4 linked regions of the Danio rerio genome follow. Each later gene encodes a partner of the first gene's protein in a complex. Links are inferred from orthologs where the notes say so. Each region holds a gene or a part of one and is shown on either strand. Other genes may lie near its edges.

Region 1 (4,291 bases):
TTTATTCATAGGTAGTTGACAGGACATGGGTCTCATTCACTAACCAGGAGCAAATCTTTGTGTGTAATACAGACATTTTCGTGAATAAAACATGATTAATCAAAACTTTCATACAAAAGATGATTCTAAGTCAATTTAATTGAAAAACATCTGTGCAGTAACCGTCCATAAATTAGTGCACCCACCCAAGTTTATATGTTTGGGAATAATGTTAAATTAAATATAGTTGTTTTTTTATATGCATTGTAAAAGTATATTAAATAGTGGTGTAACGGATCACATATTTTTTTTTAGTCATGGATCAGCCAAAAAGGGGAGACAAATGTAATTTGCCTTGCATTCTTTTTACAAAAACCCATACATAGTTCATACGGTCATGGAAAACCTAGAACAGGGGTTCCCAAACTTTTTAGCACGCGACCCCTAAAATAACAATGCCAGTGACTCGCGACCCCCAATATCCTCTGAGGTGGTTATAAATACAGAAAACTTGCATGCAATGGCGCACACACACACCAATAGACCAAAGTCTATTCTTCGTTTAATTTTTTTAATGTATTTCAGTGCTGTAAATGGGCCAGAAAGTTTAACCTGGTGTTATAAAATCAATCTGCTGCATCTGACGCTATTGCTGTCTTTAATATAATGTATTTACCCCAGGGGTCGCAATTCAATAGAACAAGTAAATAAGCTACTATAGTAACTATAAATAGCTGTTTTTTTCTCTTGAGTTGTTATGGATAAAATATGGTAATTCTTAAGGTCTAATAATAATAATAATAATAAGTAGATTTTTGGAAATCACCTGGCGATTCCCCCCCTTCATTGTTCCGCGACCCCTCAAGGGGTCCCGACCCCCACTTTGAGAACCACTGACCTAGAAAGTCATGGTATTTTGACATGGCATTTTTCAGGCCTGGAAAAGTTTTGAAACAACAGAAAAACCCACAAAGTTTTGGAAAAGTCATGGAAATTAGTTTAACAAATATCTGTATAGTTGAATTAGGGCTGTTCGATATTGGAAAAATCTGACATTACCGTATTTTTTTATTTCTGTGGTATATATTGCGATGTAAATTGGATTTCACCAGATGATTTAACAGGTTTATTTGGATTGATTGGGGGGATTTTGTAGAGGAATGAATCTCGAATAATATAAAACAAATAAATTACAAGCATAAATAAAATATAGTAAAAAATGAGTAGTAAGTGAATTATAGTTTTCAGGTATTCACTATTCAGGTGCAGATATTGAATAATCAACACTGCAGTGTCTTCATTGTATATTATTTAATCTTTCTTAAAGTATTAAAAAAATTTCCTGTGGCCGGATGTTTAAAATCTGAAATATTGAAATGTTCACACAGTCACAGGCCTTCAAGAGACAGTTTACTCAAAGATTAAAACGTACTCACTATTTACTCACTTTTCGCTTGTATTAATGCTATAGGTGTTATTAAGTTATACTCTTTTTGTGTTCATTTAAAAAAAGAAAACTCATAAATGTTTGAAAAAAGTGAAGGGTTGTAATGAAAATCGTAAGTATTAATTAGTGGGTGAACTTTCTCTTTAAAAATGCATGCAGATGATAAACTGTTACTCCATTATGATTAAACTCTATATTAAACTATAATCCCAACACTGCATATCCTGCAATGTGACTATTGCGGATGCACACATTGCAACATTGATGCTGAAACGATATATTGTGCAGCTCTAACTTGAATAGGTTAGTTGTCTCTGTCCTTTCTCTCACATTGTTGGTGCTGTGTAAGCATTATCAAAATCCATTTGACATAGATATAAAAACAAATGTAAACTAAATAGATTGTTGCGTGTTCTATGATATGCTGGAATAAATTTGAAGGTCGTTGATTTTCTTATTATTTACCATATGCAGATGTTACGTCATGAAAATGTACTTGAAAGTTTTGGAAAAGTCTTGGAAAAGTCATGGAATTTTAGTAGTAAAAATGTGTATGAACCCTTTATATAAAAAAATATGAAAAATTAAAATGAAGAAATAACCAGCTGAATAAAAATAAATTGTAGAATATTCAGTATTGTGAAAGTATGAGTTGCTACTGTTGCTGATAACGCTAAATGTAAAAATCTAACATTTGTAATTTGTACAACCCATGTTTATTTCAGTCTCATTTACAATAAATGATTCAGTTATTCACTCACAAAACTTAATATTTCACTGCTGGATGTGTCATATTTGAAGAATTATTCAGTGGCATATTTTTGATGGCTGGTTGTCGCCACCTATTGGTTAAATGCAATTACTACGTGCAACTTTCATTCTTGAGCATCAAGTTAAATGCATATGACGGTGATTTTAATCTTTACCATAAACATCAAGGGATCTATACTATAAACTGTTATGCTAGTATTTCTGTGTTACTTGACTGTTTGTAATTTCATGACTCAAAAGACTGAAGACTGAATCTATTAGGATGAATAAACGTATGCAAATCACCATCATTTATAATTTGTTGAAAAGTTCCCAATCTTTTAATGATTAAGCATGCAGCTTACACTGATTGCATTAATGCAGGTAAAACAAGTAGCGACAGAAAACACCTTTAATAACCTAAGAAAACCCCCACATCCTAAATAACCTACCACAACTTCTTCCTTCATTACATTTTACAGGAAAGCCTAAATTCTTTTATACATGTGGTTTGATGGATCTCTCTGTAATTGTTACGAAATTAGGTTTAATCCAGAAGTAAAAAATAAAATATTTTAATCCGCTGGTCATGTGTGTTCCACATGGTTGTGATCACAAATCGACCATGATCCGCTACACGCCTAATATTAAATGCAGTTGTCTGATTGCTTAAATGTTTTTGGAAAAATATGTGTGCAATTATGTTCAATCTTCATTGTGCAAAACGTTCATGTAAAAATGCCACTCGTACTTTATCTGTCCTGTGTTTTGCCTATTAAAATTAATGACATTTTGGTAGCATATTAAATATGTATTTAATACAAAATGCAAAAAATCTAAATTTTTAAAAGCTGTATTATATTTTCGTTTGTATAGATGCTTAAACACATTTTTGTCTTTGATCCATGCAAAGTTTTATTGTTCATCCATTCATTTTCCTTCGGCTTACTCCCTTTATTCATCAGGGGTCACCACAGCGGAAATGCCAACTGACCCAGCCGGGTCTTGAAATAGCGACCTTCTTGCTGTGAGGCGACGGTGCTAACCACTGAGCCCCCGTGTCACCCCTATTTATTGTCAGAATTTTAATTTAAACCTTTATTTTGCTCTTTTTTTTGTGTTCTTTTTTTAAAAGTGTCATTTTATACTTGTATAAAAAATCTATAAAGGATGTTTAATTCCCATTTTAAGTAAATTTACATAAATATTTTCACATTATTCATAAAACTAGAGTTTTTGTTAAATTAATTACAATTTTAAAAAAGATTTGTCACCTTTAAATTGGTTGTGTTTCAGTTGCTGAAGCGCGTTTATGGAAATTTCCTCGTGGCACCAGAAGACGGTGAGCCAAACTTTGTTTATTATTGTCTTTATTTTTATTTTTACAGTAGAATTAGTAGTTTGATGGTTTTTTCCCCCCTCTTTGAAGGCTACAACATTTCACTGCTCTTCGACCTGGACGCTCTTCCACCCAATAAAGAGGAGATGATCCACCAGGCTGGGATCCTAAAGAGAAACTGCTTCGCTTCCGTCTTCGAGAAGTACTTCAAGTTTCAGGAGGAGGGTCGCGATGGCGAGAAAAGAGCCGTTGTTCATTACAGGGACGACGAGTCGATGTAAGATACTGAGAGTTCCTTCAAACTGTTTTCATAATCTGCTAGTCAAATGATTGTTTTTTAGGTTAAAAACATTAGCTCTTAAACATTAGCTCTTCTACATTCAGTCGATAAAACATGTAATGAATTTTTCATGCATGAAATGTATACAGTAAAGTCAGAATTATTAGCCCCCTTTTAAGATACTTCTATAGAGCTTAAAGTGGCATTTAAAGACTTAACTAGGGTAATTAGGCAAATCATTGAATAACGCTGGTTTATTCTGTAGACAATTGGGAAAAAAATACCTTAAAATGGTTTAAAACAAATTAAAAATTGCTTTTATTCTAGCCGAATTACAACAAATAAGACTTTCTACAGAAGAAAAAATATTATAGGAAATACTCAAAAAAAATAATTTGGGAAATATTTAAAAAAGAAAAACGAATTGACAGAAGGGTTAATAATTCTGACTTCAACTGTATACGCAAGATTTTAAATTGTTATATATTAAGCAGCA
Region 2 (4,906 bases), on another chromosome or scaffold:
TTGGATGCAGTAATGGTTGCCCCATCCATCTGGATTGAAAAGTTATGGTGTAGAGTCGGGTTGGCAGAAAGCTATTTTATACTTTAAATGTGAAAAATAAACATGCGCTATAGATGCAATATTGAAAACAATAAACAAAAAATACTGTTTGAATTTTACATTTTACAGACATTTTGTGTATTTGTACAGTACTGAAAGGTCTTCACTAATTTGGCGTAAACCTAATCTCTGCATGGAATTGCTAAAATCCTAAATATATCATATTATATTAAATAAGTTCACTTTTGAGAGAACGTCTATTTACATAAATTATTTTGAAGGGAATTTACAGACCAGTGTCAGAAAAAAAACACCTGTAACTGGTGTGTGTGTGTGTGTGTGTGTGTGTGTGTGTGTATTGTGCTGACCCGAGCTCATGGGTGGAAGTGTCACAGCTCCTGGAACTGTCTCCTGAGCCCATCCTGCGCCTCTTGGGGGCTTGACTCCCATCACTGGAGTTCTCCTCAATGTCATCCTGTTTGAAGAGAAAGTCTGTCACATAGATTTCTGTATTCGCAGGCTAACATTAAATAAATTGAGGTCAAGTTTAATATTCGCACATTTGTTCAGTGGCTAATTTTGACATGCACCACAGTGTATCCATATTCTGATGGCTACTTCCAGCAGGATGACGTGCCATGTCATAAAGTGTGAATCACCTCAGACTAACACGACAATGAGTGCACTGTACTCAAATGGCCTCCACAGACACCATATCTAAATCCAACAGAGCACCTTTGGGATGTGGTGGAACGGGAAATTCACATCATGGATAAGCAGCTGACAAATGTGCAGCAACTGTGTGATGCTATCATGTCAACATTAACTAAAATTTCTGAGGAATATTTCCAGTACCTTGTTGAATTTATGCCACGAAGGATTAAGGCAGTTCTGAAGGCATAAGGGGGTCCAACCAGGTACAAATAAGGTGTACCTAATAAAGTGGCCAGTGATTGTTTATACCATGCCAATAAACTAAAAACGACTGTTCAAAACCATCTAGATAAGTCATTGCGGGTCCACTTTTCTGTGTTAATCAATTTACGAAATATTACTCGAAATGCATGGCCTGTTCAGCTACCTCGGCTAACGTTAACAGGCTAATGGTAAACAAACAAAGGCGAATGTACGTCACACTCACGCTGAAACTGTACAGGTGTAAGTACAGTTTTACATTGCTAGAGTGATATATCTGCAGCTTCTGCTAAGAAAAAGTAGTAAGTAAACATCACAAACCTTTATAGACTGGGTCCCAGGAGTTGCAGGATTGCTATCGCACGGTCTCGGCGATAGAACAGCTGCCATGTTGTTATTCTGCGAATGAAAGGGCGTCACATTCCGGCTGGAAACTAGCACAATGGGAACGCGACAAAGTGTTCCTATCTCTAAAAACAAAAAATTGAAAACTAAATATTATTTAATTGCACGTCTATTTTGGTAACTTTTTGGGACAAGGTTTATTTTAATTACAAACTATTTAAAATGTTTTACATTTATTTTAAAATTATGTTTTGTATTAAATTTAAAAATTTATTATTTTTATTATTTTTATTTTTAATTAATTGATAAGACATTTTAAATGTTTTTTTATTTAATAAAATTTGTCAATTATAAAAAAAAAACAGCGTAGGAGGCGGGGCTTGTGTAAAAAAAACAGGCTTGTCTTCTCGCGCAACTGTCTGGAACAGGAAGTGAAACCCTGCGCTGCTGTTTGAGTGCTAGAAGCACTTTGTTGAGAAAGTTCGGCTTCCTCTGACGGCTCCTCTGGGTCTCTGAAAGATGGACAGCCAAGGAAGAAAAGTGGTGGTTTGTGATAACGGAACAGGGGTACGTCCGCAACGCTAACACGCGACGTTTGTCTTGTCGAGCTTTTATTTCGAGTGACATGATAATAAGACCGATAGACCCCTAACAGGAAGTCATGAAAGCTTAGCGCAGCTATAAAGAATGTCTGACAGCTGCTTTCTCTGCTGTGTTATCTGACTGTGGCTTTATTTCTCTGCTTTATATCCAGCTTTCATTCTGCAGCAGACTCGATATCTCATATTCTTTCGTTAGGAGAGAATCGTAGCATGGCGTTGGTTGAATTAACTGCAAATGTCGCTTCATAATACAATAATAACAACACATTGACACAAATAATCGAATTAACTGCATGACCAAACCTTCAGAGCTCATTCTTGCAGCGATATGCTAGCAGCTTTCTTGCATAACATATTATTAATATGAATTTTGCGTTGCTATGGTTACATGCCATTCCCCATTCACTGTGAATGTTGCTGCCACTTGCTTTCAAACTATTTTTGCATATTACAAGCTATGGGTGATGGCACTTCCTCATCTCTCGGTTTCAGTGGATAGGAGCTGCACTAATGTTCAGTGATGCTCAATCCTGGTTAATCATTCAATACATTCTTTGCACATTAGAATAATGCTGATATAGTGAGCTCTGGAATTTCGCTGGTTTTGTCCTGACATCACAATTTTGGCGACGTCAGCATGTTTGAAGCTCAACTCGAGGTAGAAGAAGAAGTAATGTGAATGTTTTAATAATGTATTTTTAGTAAACAAACCAAGTCAGTGAAACAGAGAAGCATGAGTCAGAAGGAAGTGATGTCAAAACCACAGCCTGAAAGCATTTCTCTACATGTCGAATGACCAATGAACGAGCGTGAAAGCCTCCAGACCATTTTTGGAATAGTGTTAAGATGAGAAACAAGACATTACAGTTTTTTTTTATTCAAAGATCTGTTATAAACGATTCACACGAGCTGGAAGAAACAAGCGACTTAACTTCTTTCTTAATGTTCAGGAAGGTTTATTATCATTAGAAGTTTTGAGTAAAAAACTATTGTTCAGTGTCTTAAAGGGAAAGTCAACACAAAATGACCATCCCTTTTAAAAAGGTGTTTTAAAAAGTTTATTTTCTTCTGTTGAACACAAAGAAGACTAAGAATGATGGAAAAAACAACCATTCACTTTCATAGTATTGTATTTTTGATCCTACTACTATGGATGTCAATGACTGTTTTTTTTTTCAGCATTCTTCAGACTCCTTGTGTCTTGATTTGTGTTCAGTAGAAGAAAGACATTTGTTGAAGTTTAGAACCACTGGACTATAAGTACGATTTGTTTCTATTTTTATTTTGGGTGAACTATTTCTTTGAACAAAATGAGGGCTGTTCTCATGATCCTGGTCTGGAAAGTTGCTGGCAATTTTGCAGAAAAGGTTAAATGTGTGAAAGGGCTGATAGTAGTCGTCTAGTAGTACACTGGTCAATCACTTTATTTTCATAGATTTCTTCTTGCAGAATGTCTGATGAGCCTGGATTAAAACAAAAAGCTATGTAAGAGTCTGTGATGACGGATCATGCATAAACTTACAAAAACAATTGCATATAATTGCCATTTTACACTGTAAAAAATGCTGGGTTCCTTTAAACTTATTTTTTTTTTTACAACTTTAAAGGGCCATGAAACCCCCTCGTTTCAGCAGGGTGTTTTCACACCTCTACTTTAGAAAAAGTCAGAAAAGTGGGCGTGTCCAGCTCTGTTTAGGGGGGAGTGTCGGAGGAACTAAAGTGGGATGGTGTGAGAGTGTCTATTTTGGTATGCGCGAGTTTCAGAGTCAAAACACACACACACAGGGGAGAAAGTGACTGTGTTTACATGGACATCTGTAGTCAAATTATTTGCCAAATTATTAAATGCTGGACTTTAACTGCAGTTTGGCTCTTTCATTCAGGGAATTCATTCATGCCCCTCGCGACAAACGAGATATTTGATTCGAGGAACTGCTCTAAGCGTGTATTTTTCATGCAGTGTTTGATACCGCACGGCGAATGAGAGAAAAAAAAACTCAGCATTTCCCGGAAACTTAGATGAACACGGCAGGTAGCGTCAGAAAGCCGCGTGTGTTATTCCGGTCACAAAATGCGGTGAAAACCCTACACGAGGTTAAAGTTTGGTTGTGGTGCTAACGTGTTTACACTCGGCGCAATAGTTCGATACGAACAAACTGAATAAACAAAGAGCACTGGTCGCTCACTTACCAAATCTGTAGAGACAGGACAATCACCAGCAACTAGAGCTGCGTCTTTATTAAGAGGAAACTACAAGCGAATCCAGATCTCAGCGTTTGCAGATGAGAACTGCTCTCAGGTAAACAATGTTCCTCCTTAGACACGCAAGTTATTGTTGTCGAGCGTCGCGTACACTGGTAATCCACACGCGAGTCTGAGCTCTCACAGAGAGAAAATAAAAACAAAACTTAACTGCAGCAAACTATAAAAGCTACACTTCACGCTTGTTTTGCCAGCACAACGTGGCGTCTCTGTCGTCTAAACACTGTGACATTAATGAATATTAATGAAGTTGCACAATAGAGCGCGCTGATTGGTTTGAACCAAGCTTTACTCATGCATTAATGCAGCACACTCTGAGACGTAATAAGACACACTCTGGCACAGATGTCCAGTCTGCACGCTGGAATACAGGCTATTATGTCATGACCGTGACGCAGCTTCAAAAATTTGTTTCAAACCGGAAGTACGAATTTGCTTGAAATAATGCAAAAATAACCAATTTACACTTTTTAGTGAAATATAGGTGTCCTAATAGTGTTTTTAGCAGTGTGGGACACATATACGACTATTAACAGCTCAAAAAATGTGTTTTGGTGTTTCGTGACCCTTTAAATTGATTGAACAAAACAATTAAGATGTCCCATAAAAAAAAAATAAAAAAACTTCAAGAATTGTGTTGTTTTAGCTAGTTTTGTATGTATAAATGCAACAATGCAATTATTTGGAGCTCTTTTAAATATAGAAAATACTAAGAGAGTATATTGCACATTAAAATGACGTCA
Region 3 (5,091 bases), on another chromosome or scaffold:
CACTACGGACAATATAGCCTACCCAATTCACCTGTACAGCATGTCTTTGGACTGTGGAAAAACCGGAGTACCCGGAGGAGACCCACGCGAAGGCAGGGAGAACATGCAAACTCCACACAGAAACGCCAACTGAGCCGAGGTTCGAACCAGCGACCTTCTTGCTGTGAGCACTACCTACTGCGCCACTGCCTCACCCCCAAGAGGCAACATATAAATACTAAATAGAAATGGACCAGGTACTGACCCTTGGGGGACACCATGACATAAAGGGACAGTACGCGATCTGTAACCGCCCATATAGATAAACTGTGAACATCCAGAAAGATAGGCTTTAAACCAATTTAGCACAATCCCATCCACACCAACCCAGTTATGAAGTCTGTCCAAAAGTATGCTGTGAGAAATTGTATCAAAAGCTGCGGTTAAGTCTAAAAGCACTAAAATACCACAAGCCCCCGATTCAGCAATCAGGAGGTCATTTACAACCTTAACTAAAGCAGTTTCTGAGCTATGTCATGATCGAAATAAATGAAATGCATCAAACAAAGCGTTTGCTTGCAGGTGTTCTTGCAGTTGCCCCACCACCACCCGCTATATGCTTTATGTAAGTAACTGCTTAGCAGCCAATAAGAACACTTTAGCAACTGCCTAACAACACCTTATAAACCAATCAAAACACCTTAGCAACCACATAGCAACATCTTTAACCATCTAGAACACCTTAGCAACTGTCTAGCAATGCCGTAGCAACCACCTAGAACACCCTAGCAATCGCCTAACAACCACTCAGAACACCTTAGCAACCGCCTAGAACACTTTAGCAACTACCTAGCAACGCCCTAGCAACCACTTATGGCACCCTAGCAACTCTCCCATAGATTTCCATTGTAAAAAAAAAAACTGCCATTGACTACATTGAACATACTAACAACATGCCAATTCGTACTGGAAACATCCTAACAAGCATACTAATAATACTAGCAACATGCTAATACATACTATAAACATACTAGCAGCATGCTAATTTATACTGAATTCATGCTAATTCATGTTACAAACATGCTAATTCCTACTAGAACCGTGGTATTTATGTAAGCAATTGCCTAGCAGCCACTAAGAACACCTTAGCAACCGCCTAACAACATTTTTAACCACCTAGAACCCCCTAGCAACCGCCTAGCAATGCTTTAGCAACCAGCTAGAACACCATGGCAACCACCTAGAACACTCTAGCAATCGCCTACCAACCACTCAGAACTTCTTAGCAATCAGCCTAGCAATCTCTCAGAACACCTTAGCAACCACCTAGAACACCCTAGCAAATATCTAGCAACGCCTTAGCAACCACTCAGAACACCCTGGCAACTGACTAGCAAAACCCTAGCAACCACCTAGAACACCCTAGCAATGCTTTAGCAACCACTCAGAACAACCTAGCAACTGCCTAGCAATACATTAGCAACCACATAAAACACCCTAGCAACACCTTAGCAACTACTCAGAACACCCTATCAACCACATAGCAAGAAACATACCAGTCCATACTAGAAACATGCTAACATATATGTACATATCTGTATGTCAACTGTTTCAAACTTTAAAACGACTTTCAGACAAGGCTTTCTCAAGCCACCATAAAGTTTGTCTACGACCTTTACTTTTCTGCTCTCTTCCCTTTGAAAAAGTTCTGCTTTCGCTAGCGCCCATAAATCATCAGTGCAGACGCATGACTTAAAAAGAGCACACGTTACACATGCACACCCAAAGAGAATGTGAAGGGGAGTTGAGCTGAAAACCCTCCTCGCCAACAGACAGCCGCCCACACAAGGAAGTGGTTATAAGTTTCTAACAGGGAAGGGGAAGTAGTGCATTTTTTGGAGAGAAAAACGACTAAGGAAATAGTTGAGTTCATTCAGAGCAAAGCCAGCGTTTGTGTTGACTGCTCAGAGTCCACGAACCCAGGCTTCTGTCGCAGGCTTTGTCAGCCCCCCCGCCTCTAGCATCTCTGTGTTTTTACGGTTTCCTGGGTAAGTAGAATAACATATGGTTTTGTTTATCTGAATGTAGAAGATCTGGAGCAATCTCTAGTTTTGGAATGTTGGTGACTAACGTGCACTAACATGCAGAATGACACCCAGGAAGAAGTGTGTTTCAGTATTTTTGACATCTGAGGTTTGAAGCCCATCGCTGCACACTTCCTGAGCATAGAGGACCGTTAGTTGTTTTAGGTGATGCAAACTATGATTCGACAGGAGAGCTGTTTTAAGTGTTTTACTTGGTGACTGAGCATCTGGCCTTGTGACATTCCTTTCTGCTCTGGTTTTAATTTAGTTCAAACACTAAGAAAACGAAGAAGCGTTTGCAGTTACTAAGGCAAAAACTTGTTTCAAGTTTGACCTACAGCAGCAATTAATTTAGTTAACCTATACAGTAATTAACACTAATAGTTTTAAGGAAGTTCTACAGTTCTCCATTTTAGAAACACATCTCTACGGAAGTGTTCTACTTTGGTGGGTAACACTTTATTTTGATGGTCCATTTGAGTATTAGTAGACTGTGCTTAATATCCTTCAACAGGCATTTTGCTATAAGTACGTTTGCCCTAACTAACCTTTACCCCAACATAACACTACTTATAATCTAATGAGGATTAGTTGGCATGTATATGCAATGTAACTTAATTTCAATAAGCGGACAATCAAAATAAAGTGTGACCCTTTGGTGTACTAGGGATATTTACCATTTAATCTCAAAATGCCTATTCATTTTTAGGAAAAGCGACCATGGCTTATCACAGTTTTCTTCTTGAACCCATCAGCTGCCATGCCTGGAACAAGGACCGAACTCGTAAGTTCTTAAACTCGCAGTATCTCTACTCTCTGAAGCAGTTTCCTGTCCCTAGAGCTAAAGATATGCATCAGCATATGAACTCTGTAATCATGTGGGAGCATCATTGCTGAAAATATTATCGATTTCAATGTCTCCAAAGCCCATTTCATCATGAGTCGAATAATTTTGAGGATTTTCTGAATGAGCTTTGAGATTTACTCACAAAGAATGTCTTCTTAAGCCGACTTCTTTTTTTTGTAAACTTTGAATGTTCACCTGAACCTCCGTTGGGTCCTTGGGAGCCCAACAGTCTAATAGTTTGTTATGGATAAAAAGCTGAACCTCCTTCCAGAAATGTGTCAGTATATACAGGGGAATTCATACAGCATTTTTTTTTTGCGTAATATATGGTGCCGGATTGAACCTAGTCAGCAGTTAAATGTGTTTTCTCTTGGAAAATCCAAAGCAAGAACAAACAATCTGCTGTTAAAGGAGCAAACGTCTAAAAGTTGTATCTTTTCACTGCTGCCGCCCTGCTTTTCTTTCCATGCTGATGATGAGAGAAGCAGTAATGACTAATTCCCCCCAGACTTCCTGTTTTACCATGAATGGTGCTTTGTTGCTGATGTCGTACGTCTTCAGCAGACCGCCGAGCAACAGCAGGGAAATGAGACGAATGAGAAACACTTGAAGCTTTAACGTACTGCCGCTGTTAAAAACATGAGCATTTTTGAGCTCACCTATGAGAAATGTGCAAGCTCAACTGCTGAAGTAGATACTCTTTCAGAATCCAGCCGTTGTGCCTGTTTAAAACTCCCAGATTTGCAGTCGTTGCATATGACAGCTTGTCTACTAGCTTGTTGCATTTCCGGTGTTTGAATCAAGTGCAGAAGTTGGCGTTAAAGGGATAGTTCACCCAAAACTGAAAATCTACCATCATTTTGTCATTTTTCACTTCTTCGAAACCAATTTGAGTTTCTTTCTAATCCTGAACACAAAAGATGATATCTTGAAGACTGCTGGTAACTGGCACTAATTGACTTCCATAGTATTTTGAAGTCGACAGGTGCCAGCAACCAGCATTTTTCAAAATATCTTCTTCTATCTTTAACAAAAGAAAGAAAGACTGAAGGGAGAATACATAAGGTAATTTTTCTTTTAGGGTTAACTATCCCTTTAAGACCAAAAAAGTTATAATAGTATAATTGGGAAAATAAATATATTATAATGTGGTAAACATGCAAAAAATTCTTTATATAACAGGCATGCCATTTAATTTTGATGATCATTTTGGTGCTTATACACCACTGCACCAATTAAACGCCTTCCATCAAATTATAGATGTATTATCTATTTTATATGAACACAGTATTTTTTTCCTTGATATCTTTCAATGGGATACTGCACAGAAATATCGACAGGTTTTATTTCGTTTTACTCGAGTCCACTGACCAGGACTTCTGTTTGTAGATTTTTGTTCAGTCTAGCTAGCTTAAATGTTAAATCTCCTCAATAAACTTCCATTTTTCAAAAACAATAGGTGATTTTTAGCATAATATGGGTGTTTTGCTGTTTTTTCTTCTGTTTTTCTGACTAAACAGGGTGGATATACCCTAGAATCAGCCATTACACTATAAGTCAAACAAACAAACAAAAATGCTAACTGAGTGTATGCCAAATATAGAATTTAAGGTTTTTTCAGAATGCTAATCCTACAAATAAGAATGTATGCCTCAAAGTATTCTGTTTCATTTGAATTGTTTTGGGAAAAAAATCTAATTTAATATTTAATTAACAAAACAGATGCTCTCCTCTCACCCTTCCCGGTTGTTTTCCCTCCAAGGCAGTGGTTAATATATGATGTCATTTTATTGTGACAATTTGAATTTAAAGGGCTAGTAATCTCATAACAGGTGAACAATAATTTGAGACAAATTGAAAACATTCTTTGTTTTTACAATTATATACTTTTAATATTATCACTCATATTAAGTGTTTTATCCATCCTAAATAGTGCAAACACGGACCTGGAATGTGATTTTTGGGATGTTTAGGGATATTTGGGATCTTTATTTAAAAAATAAATAAATAAATATGCTTAAAGTTTAAAAGTCAATGATATCATGATCTTCACTGGGGACACAGAATGCACTTAACAGAAATTATGATTTAGCATACTTCTAGCATATTTATGTGTTTAACGTGCTTTAGTACATTGGTATTATGCTTTTAGCAATATTTAGCATTTTAGCAAGAATTAGC
Region 4 (4,986 bases), on another chromosome or scaffold:
ACGTTGTTGCCAAATGCTGAGAATGGATGTTTGGTTTGAAGAGATATTTGATTACATGTATTGATGTGGTAAAATCAGAGCTGTAAGCAGCAGACCAATCACAATAGGCTGATCCATGTGACAATTCAGTTGTTTAATCAAATCTCAACCAAAATACTCATATAAAATGCTTAAGTGTTTTCCTTTTTTTCCTAGGAAGTAGATGAGGAACCCAGCAATTCCAATTTTGATGCGTTCTTCCAAGACACAGCAGATTCTTGAGCTAAGAGCCAGTTCACACTTAGTTTCTTTATATTTTGTCATGATTTCATTGTTTGAAGGATGAAACAATAACCTGTGCTATGCAGAGTTTTATCAAATATTGTTCATTTTTAGAACTGTATATTTATTTTTGCAATAAAAAATATGGAAATTTCAAATGTGTTTTATTTTGCTCAAAATCTTCTTGTTACATTTTATCTTTGAAGTGTAACAACTTTAGAGATCTTTTCAATACTATAGTATTGTTACAATATAGTTAAAACTATAGTATTTGAAGATTAAACCAGTGGGTAAAACTAAATGGTAATTAAAAAGCACCTTGGTTTCTAAACTTTTACAGGAAATAAAGCCATGGTTTGTTTTGGTAACAGAAGACATTGATAGTGACGTTCCTTAAATTTCCAGAATAGTGGTTGATCTTGGTTATTTATTCAGTGGCTGTTAAACTTTTATATTGAACCTTCCAGTCTTGAATATTTGATTTGAACCTTGTTAATAGGAGGTAGGAATAGTTCACGCATCATTTACTCATCCTCCTTTTGTTGCAAACCTATTTGAGTTACTTTCTTCTGTTGAACACAAAAATAAAAGATATTTTAAAGAATGTTGGAAACCCTGAACACTGGAACACTGACCTCATTTCTGGGTGAACATTTTATTAATTGATAGTTTACCCAAAAATGAACATTGTCATCAATTACTCACCCTATACTTGTTTCAAACCTTTGAGTTTATTTCTTGTGTTGAACACAGGAAAATTCATTTATTTTCCTTCGGCTTATACCCTTTGTTGGTCATTGGTTACCACAGCGGATTGAACCACCAACTTATTCAGCATATGTTTTACACAATGAAAGCCCTTCCAGCTGCAACCCACTACTGGGAAGCACCCATATACTCATTCACACACATACACTACATCCAATTTAGTTTATTAAATTCACCTATAGTGTTTAGACAGTGATGGGGAACCAGCGCACCCGAAGGAAATCTACGCCAACACAGGGAGAACATGCAAACTCCACACAGAAATGCCAACTCCCAGCCGGGACTCGAACCAGCACCCTTCTTGCTTTGAGGCAAGAGTGCTAACCACTGAGCACTTTTTTTCCCTGTGGATGTCAATGTTTACAAGTTTTAATTTTTCTTCAAAATGTCCTTTAGTGTTAAACGAAAGAAACTCAAAGGTTTGGAACGACTTGAGGGCGAGTAAATATAATTTTTTGTGTGAACTAAATCAAATCAAATCACTTTTATTGTCACATCTGCAGCAGCATCATCTATGGTGAGTGAAAAGCTTAACTAACCCTTTAAATCTAAAATACTAAAACTGTGTAATCTTTTCGACTGTCGTGAGGTGAAAATACTTTGCGCATGGAACGTTTTTTGAATATTCAATGGATATTTTACTGGATAATCTCTGGGGGAAAGAGAGACTGTAACCGTTACCTTTGGCGCCCTCCAGTGGTTTTGGCGAGATATTGTACTGGAAACTTCCTGTATCGGTGAAGGGTGGGACAGGCGGAAGCGACGGCTTGCAGCGCTGACATATTCATTTCTGCCTGCTAGGTTTGGGACATATTGTACCAAAATGCCGGTAAGAAATATTCACACATAACGATTTACACCACGAGCGCCATTGTTTGCTTTATAGGCGGTTGTGCCACGTTATACGTTAGAGCAGCGGGGAGCTAGAAAATATTTAGCTCTATTAGCCGAAGAGCTAATGTAAAAATCATGATACTCTCATCGTTTTTCCACAAATTTGACAGTTTTACGAATTTATTTATTTATTACATGTTTGAGTTTATCAAATGATCCCAAATATAAACATAGAAGTGTCAGAAAATGCGTTGTTTAAAACAGAATTGGTGAATCAGGTAATGTTGCAAACAACTGGATTTCCTCACTTAAATTAACGTTGTGATTTTTTTCTGTAAATATTAGTCCTTTTTAAAACAAATGTTTGCTCCGTCATATTGAAAAAAAAACATTATTAGTCTTGCGTTTTATGTCATCTTTCACTCTTTTTAGGCTTATCACTCAGCCCTGATGGATGCAGACACCAAACTGGTGGGCAATATGGCATTACTGCCCCTCAAAACACAGTTTAAGGGTCCTGCTGCTAGAGAAAGTAAGACAGGATTTACTTTTGTACTATTTAGGATCTAACAGTTAACTTACTTTGAGATATGAGATGTGTTTAACTCTACCTTAAATGGTCATTAGTAAAGAGTGTCTGACAAACCAGATTTCCTTCCTGTTTTTTATTACCAGCTAAAGACACAGACATCATTGATGAGGCCATTTACTACTTCAAAGCCAATGTTTTCTTCAAGAACTATGAAATAAAGGTAAGGAGCAAATGACCGTGCTGGAAGCGTGAAGGAGCCTGAAAAATGTACTTGCGTGCCTTAACCTGCATTCATAGTTCTGCGCTCAGAGAAGAATTAATATTCACTTTGTATTCGAATTTAAAGGCATGGTTCTCTCAATAATGAAAATTTACTCACCCTCAAGTGTTTCCAAACCTTTATGAGTTTCTTGCATATTTAAGAAGATATTTTGAAGAACAATGTAACCATTGACTTCAAAAGGAGACACAAATTCTATAAGAGTCAACAGGCCCGTAGCCAGCCTGGTGAAAGGGGGGGGGGGGGTCTTTTTTACAAAATGTGGACCTTTTTGATGTTATTCGCCTTACGTTCTATTTAATTCAGTGACATTTTAAGCCCTAGTTTTAGCTAGATTGTTGGGTGGTCATCCTAACCACACTTTTTGATGTACCAAAATATTTTCTAAAGATTTACAATACTGAAATAAATACTGAATAAAGAATACTTATCTTTAAAATACAAATGTATTACATTAGAACAAAAAAATAGGAATCTGTTGAAGTTTTAAATTAAAAACTAGTCTATTGTCATTTGTTAGGCAAATAACAAACTGACCAGTACATTCAACTTTGCTCTGTCAGAAATTTAAAATTATTATTATTTTAAATAATTAAAAATTTAAACAGTAATTACATTTTTGTTTTAAGAATAAGGTCCCAGATTTAGAATAAAAGTTACTGAAATGTTTTCTCTATTTAACAATACAGTAGCAAAATATGAGTTCACATACATTAGATTGCATGTTTTCTTGCATAGATGGATGTTGGAATCATGAAAAATAAATGTTTGCATTGACCAAATAGATTAGCTGAAGTCACACGATGTGATGGCCAGCAGAGCGTTCTGCTTGATCTTAAAGCTTTTCGATGGGTTATTTTTACTATTTATGATGACATAGCAGTCAAAATAGGACAAACAAGCCTAAGCCTATGTAGCAAATTGTGGACCTTTGTCAGTGGGTCTTTCGAACCTACTTTTTTTTTTTTTTTTTAATCTATATCCTCTTTTGTAAGAAAGTAAGTCAAACAGGTTTTGAACTAGTGAAGGGAGAGCAAATGATGGCATTATTTTACGTTTTGGGTGAACTATCCCTTTAAACTGTGTACCTATAAACTGTATGTATGCACATATTATTTACTTCAGTTTATATCAGATTTTGAATTTGTTGGATTTTTGATTGAAAGGGATGGCTCTGTGATAGGTTGCACATCCTCATAAGGGCTCAGCATTAAGCCTTGATGTCTATGTTGGTCACTAAACGGAAATGAAAAAGATATTTTAGTTGATCTTTAATTTGATTTCCAAGGCAGTGTTTTCATTTATAAAGGCCATTTTCCCCTAACTGTATTAAATGTGTGCTTCATTTTAACACAATAAGACATTGTCAGGCTGTTACCAGTTTGAGCATCAAAAACAGTCATCTGTCCACTGGCATTTAGATCTGTTTACACAGACAATAATAAAGCTCAAGTGCATGAATGCATCTACATTGCAAAGTTACTACTTCAGATATGTTATGTTTTTAAACCCTTTTAATGCGCAAGTTTTGAAAAGCTACATTCCATGCACTTGTTGTAAAAAAAATTCTGTCTTTTATGTTTACTTTTTAAAAAAATTATTGGTGACAAAATAAAGTAAAAAAAAAAAGCATAATTAGCAGTTTTGTGTCTAAAAATGCCATGTATTCTAAATCTAAATCTCTATAAGTGTCGTGTGTAAAAGTCATGTAATATCTACTTTTGTCATGTCATATATTTATAATACACATACATACATACATACATACATACATACATACATGCATGCATACATGCATGCATACATACATACATGCATGCATACATACATACATGCATACATACATACTTTCACTTTCACTAAAACATTCCTATACAAGCAGTGAAGTAAAGCCCTGCTCACCTCAAATTAAACATGAATATTAAATTTGAATAATGTTGCTAACCCAAAATATACAACGGAGGTCAATTAAAATCTCGTTCGCTTTACTAAAGGAAGAAATTCAAACAGGTTTGGAGTAAACTGTAATGAATAATCATGACTGGGAAATGTACATTTTGTGTGAACTGTCCTTTAAATGTTAAAGATTTTGTATTAAAATATTATTTTTAACTTGCTTTAGAATGAGGCTGATCGAACCTTGATCTACATCACTCTTTACATCTCTGAATGTCTCAAGAAACTCCAAAAGGTAATGAAAGATTCATACTCTAATAGGTAATGCTTCATACATATCTAACCTTCAATAATATGAATGCTTTACAGTGCAGTTCACGGGGCCAAGGAGAGAAGGAGATGTACACGCTGGGCA

What was found. Proteins that work in one complex are often made in the same cells at the same time.
Region 2: arpc2 (region 1) and actr2b share a complex: the UniProt entries of both Homo sapiens proteins name them as parts of the arp2/3 complex. The link is inferred for Danio rerio from reciprocal best matches to the Homo sapiens genes ARPC2 and ACTR2.
Region 3: arpc2 (region 1) and arpc1b share a complex: the UniProt entries of both Homo sapiens proteins name them as parts of the arp2/3 complex. The link is inferred for Danio rerio from reciprocal best matches to the Homo sapiens genes ARPC2 and ARPC1B.
Region 4: arpc2 (region 1) and arpc3 share a complex: the UniProt entries of both Homo sapiens proteins name them as parts of the arp2/3 complex. The link is inferred for Danio rerio from reciprocal best matches to the Homo sapiens genes ARPC2 and ARPC3.

The regions. Positions count from the first base shown.
Region 1 is NC_133184.1:49,919,130-49,923,420, reverse strand, and holds part of arpc2 (actin-related protein 2/3 complex subunit 2), read left to right. Parts: intron 1-3,472; coding exon 3,473-3,518; intron 3,519-3,605; coding exon 3,606-3,792; intron 3,793-4,291. UniProt on the Homo sapiens protein: Actin-binding component of the Arp2/3 complex, a multiprotein complex that mediates actin polymerization upon stimulation by nucleation-promoting factor (NPF).
Region 2 is NC_133188.1:6,006,186-6,011,091, reverse strand, and holds the start of actr2b (actin-related protein 2-B), read left to right. Parts: upstream 1-1,737; 5' UTR 1,738-1,818; coding exon 1,819-1,866; intron 1,867-4,906. Other genes in the region: phf10 (PHD finger protein 10), read right to left, coding at 408-514, 1,276-1,344. UniProt on the Homo sapiens protein: ATP-binding component of the Arp2/3 complex, a multiprotein complex that mediates actin polymerization upon stimulation by nucleation-promoting factor (NPF).
Region 3 is NC_133178.1:39,761,857-39,766,947, forward strand, and holds the start of arpc1b (actin-related protein 2/3 complex subunit 1B), read left to right. Parts: upstream 1-1,922; 5' UTR 1,923-2,027; exon of another isoform or gene 2,028-2,772; 5' UTR 2,773-2,783; coding exon 2,784-2,847; exon of another isoform or gene 2,848-3,706; intron 3,707-5,091. UniProt on the Homo sapiens protein: Component of the Arp2/3 complex, a multiprotein complex that mediates actin polymerization upon stimulation by nucleation-promoting factor (NPF).
Region 4 is NC_133196.1:18,449,124-18,454,109, forward strand, and holds the start of arpc3 (actin-related protein 2/3 complex subunit 3), read left to right. Parts: upstream 1-1,817; 5' UTR 1,818-1,852; coding exon 1,853-1,858; exon of another isoform or gene 1,859-2,060; intron 2,061-2,295; coding exon 2,296-2,395; intron 2,396-2,538; coding exon 2,539-2,615; intron 2,616-4,797; coding exon 4,798-4,866; intron 4,867-4,940; coding exon 4,941-4,986. Other genes in the region: protein FAM216A, read right to left, coding at 1,711-1,817. UniProt on the Homo sapiens protein: Component of the Arp2/3 complex, a multiprotein complex that mediates actin polymerization upon stimulation by nucleation-promoting factor (NPF).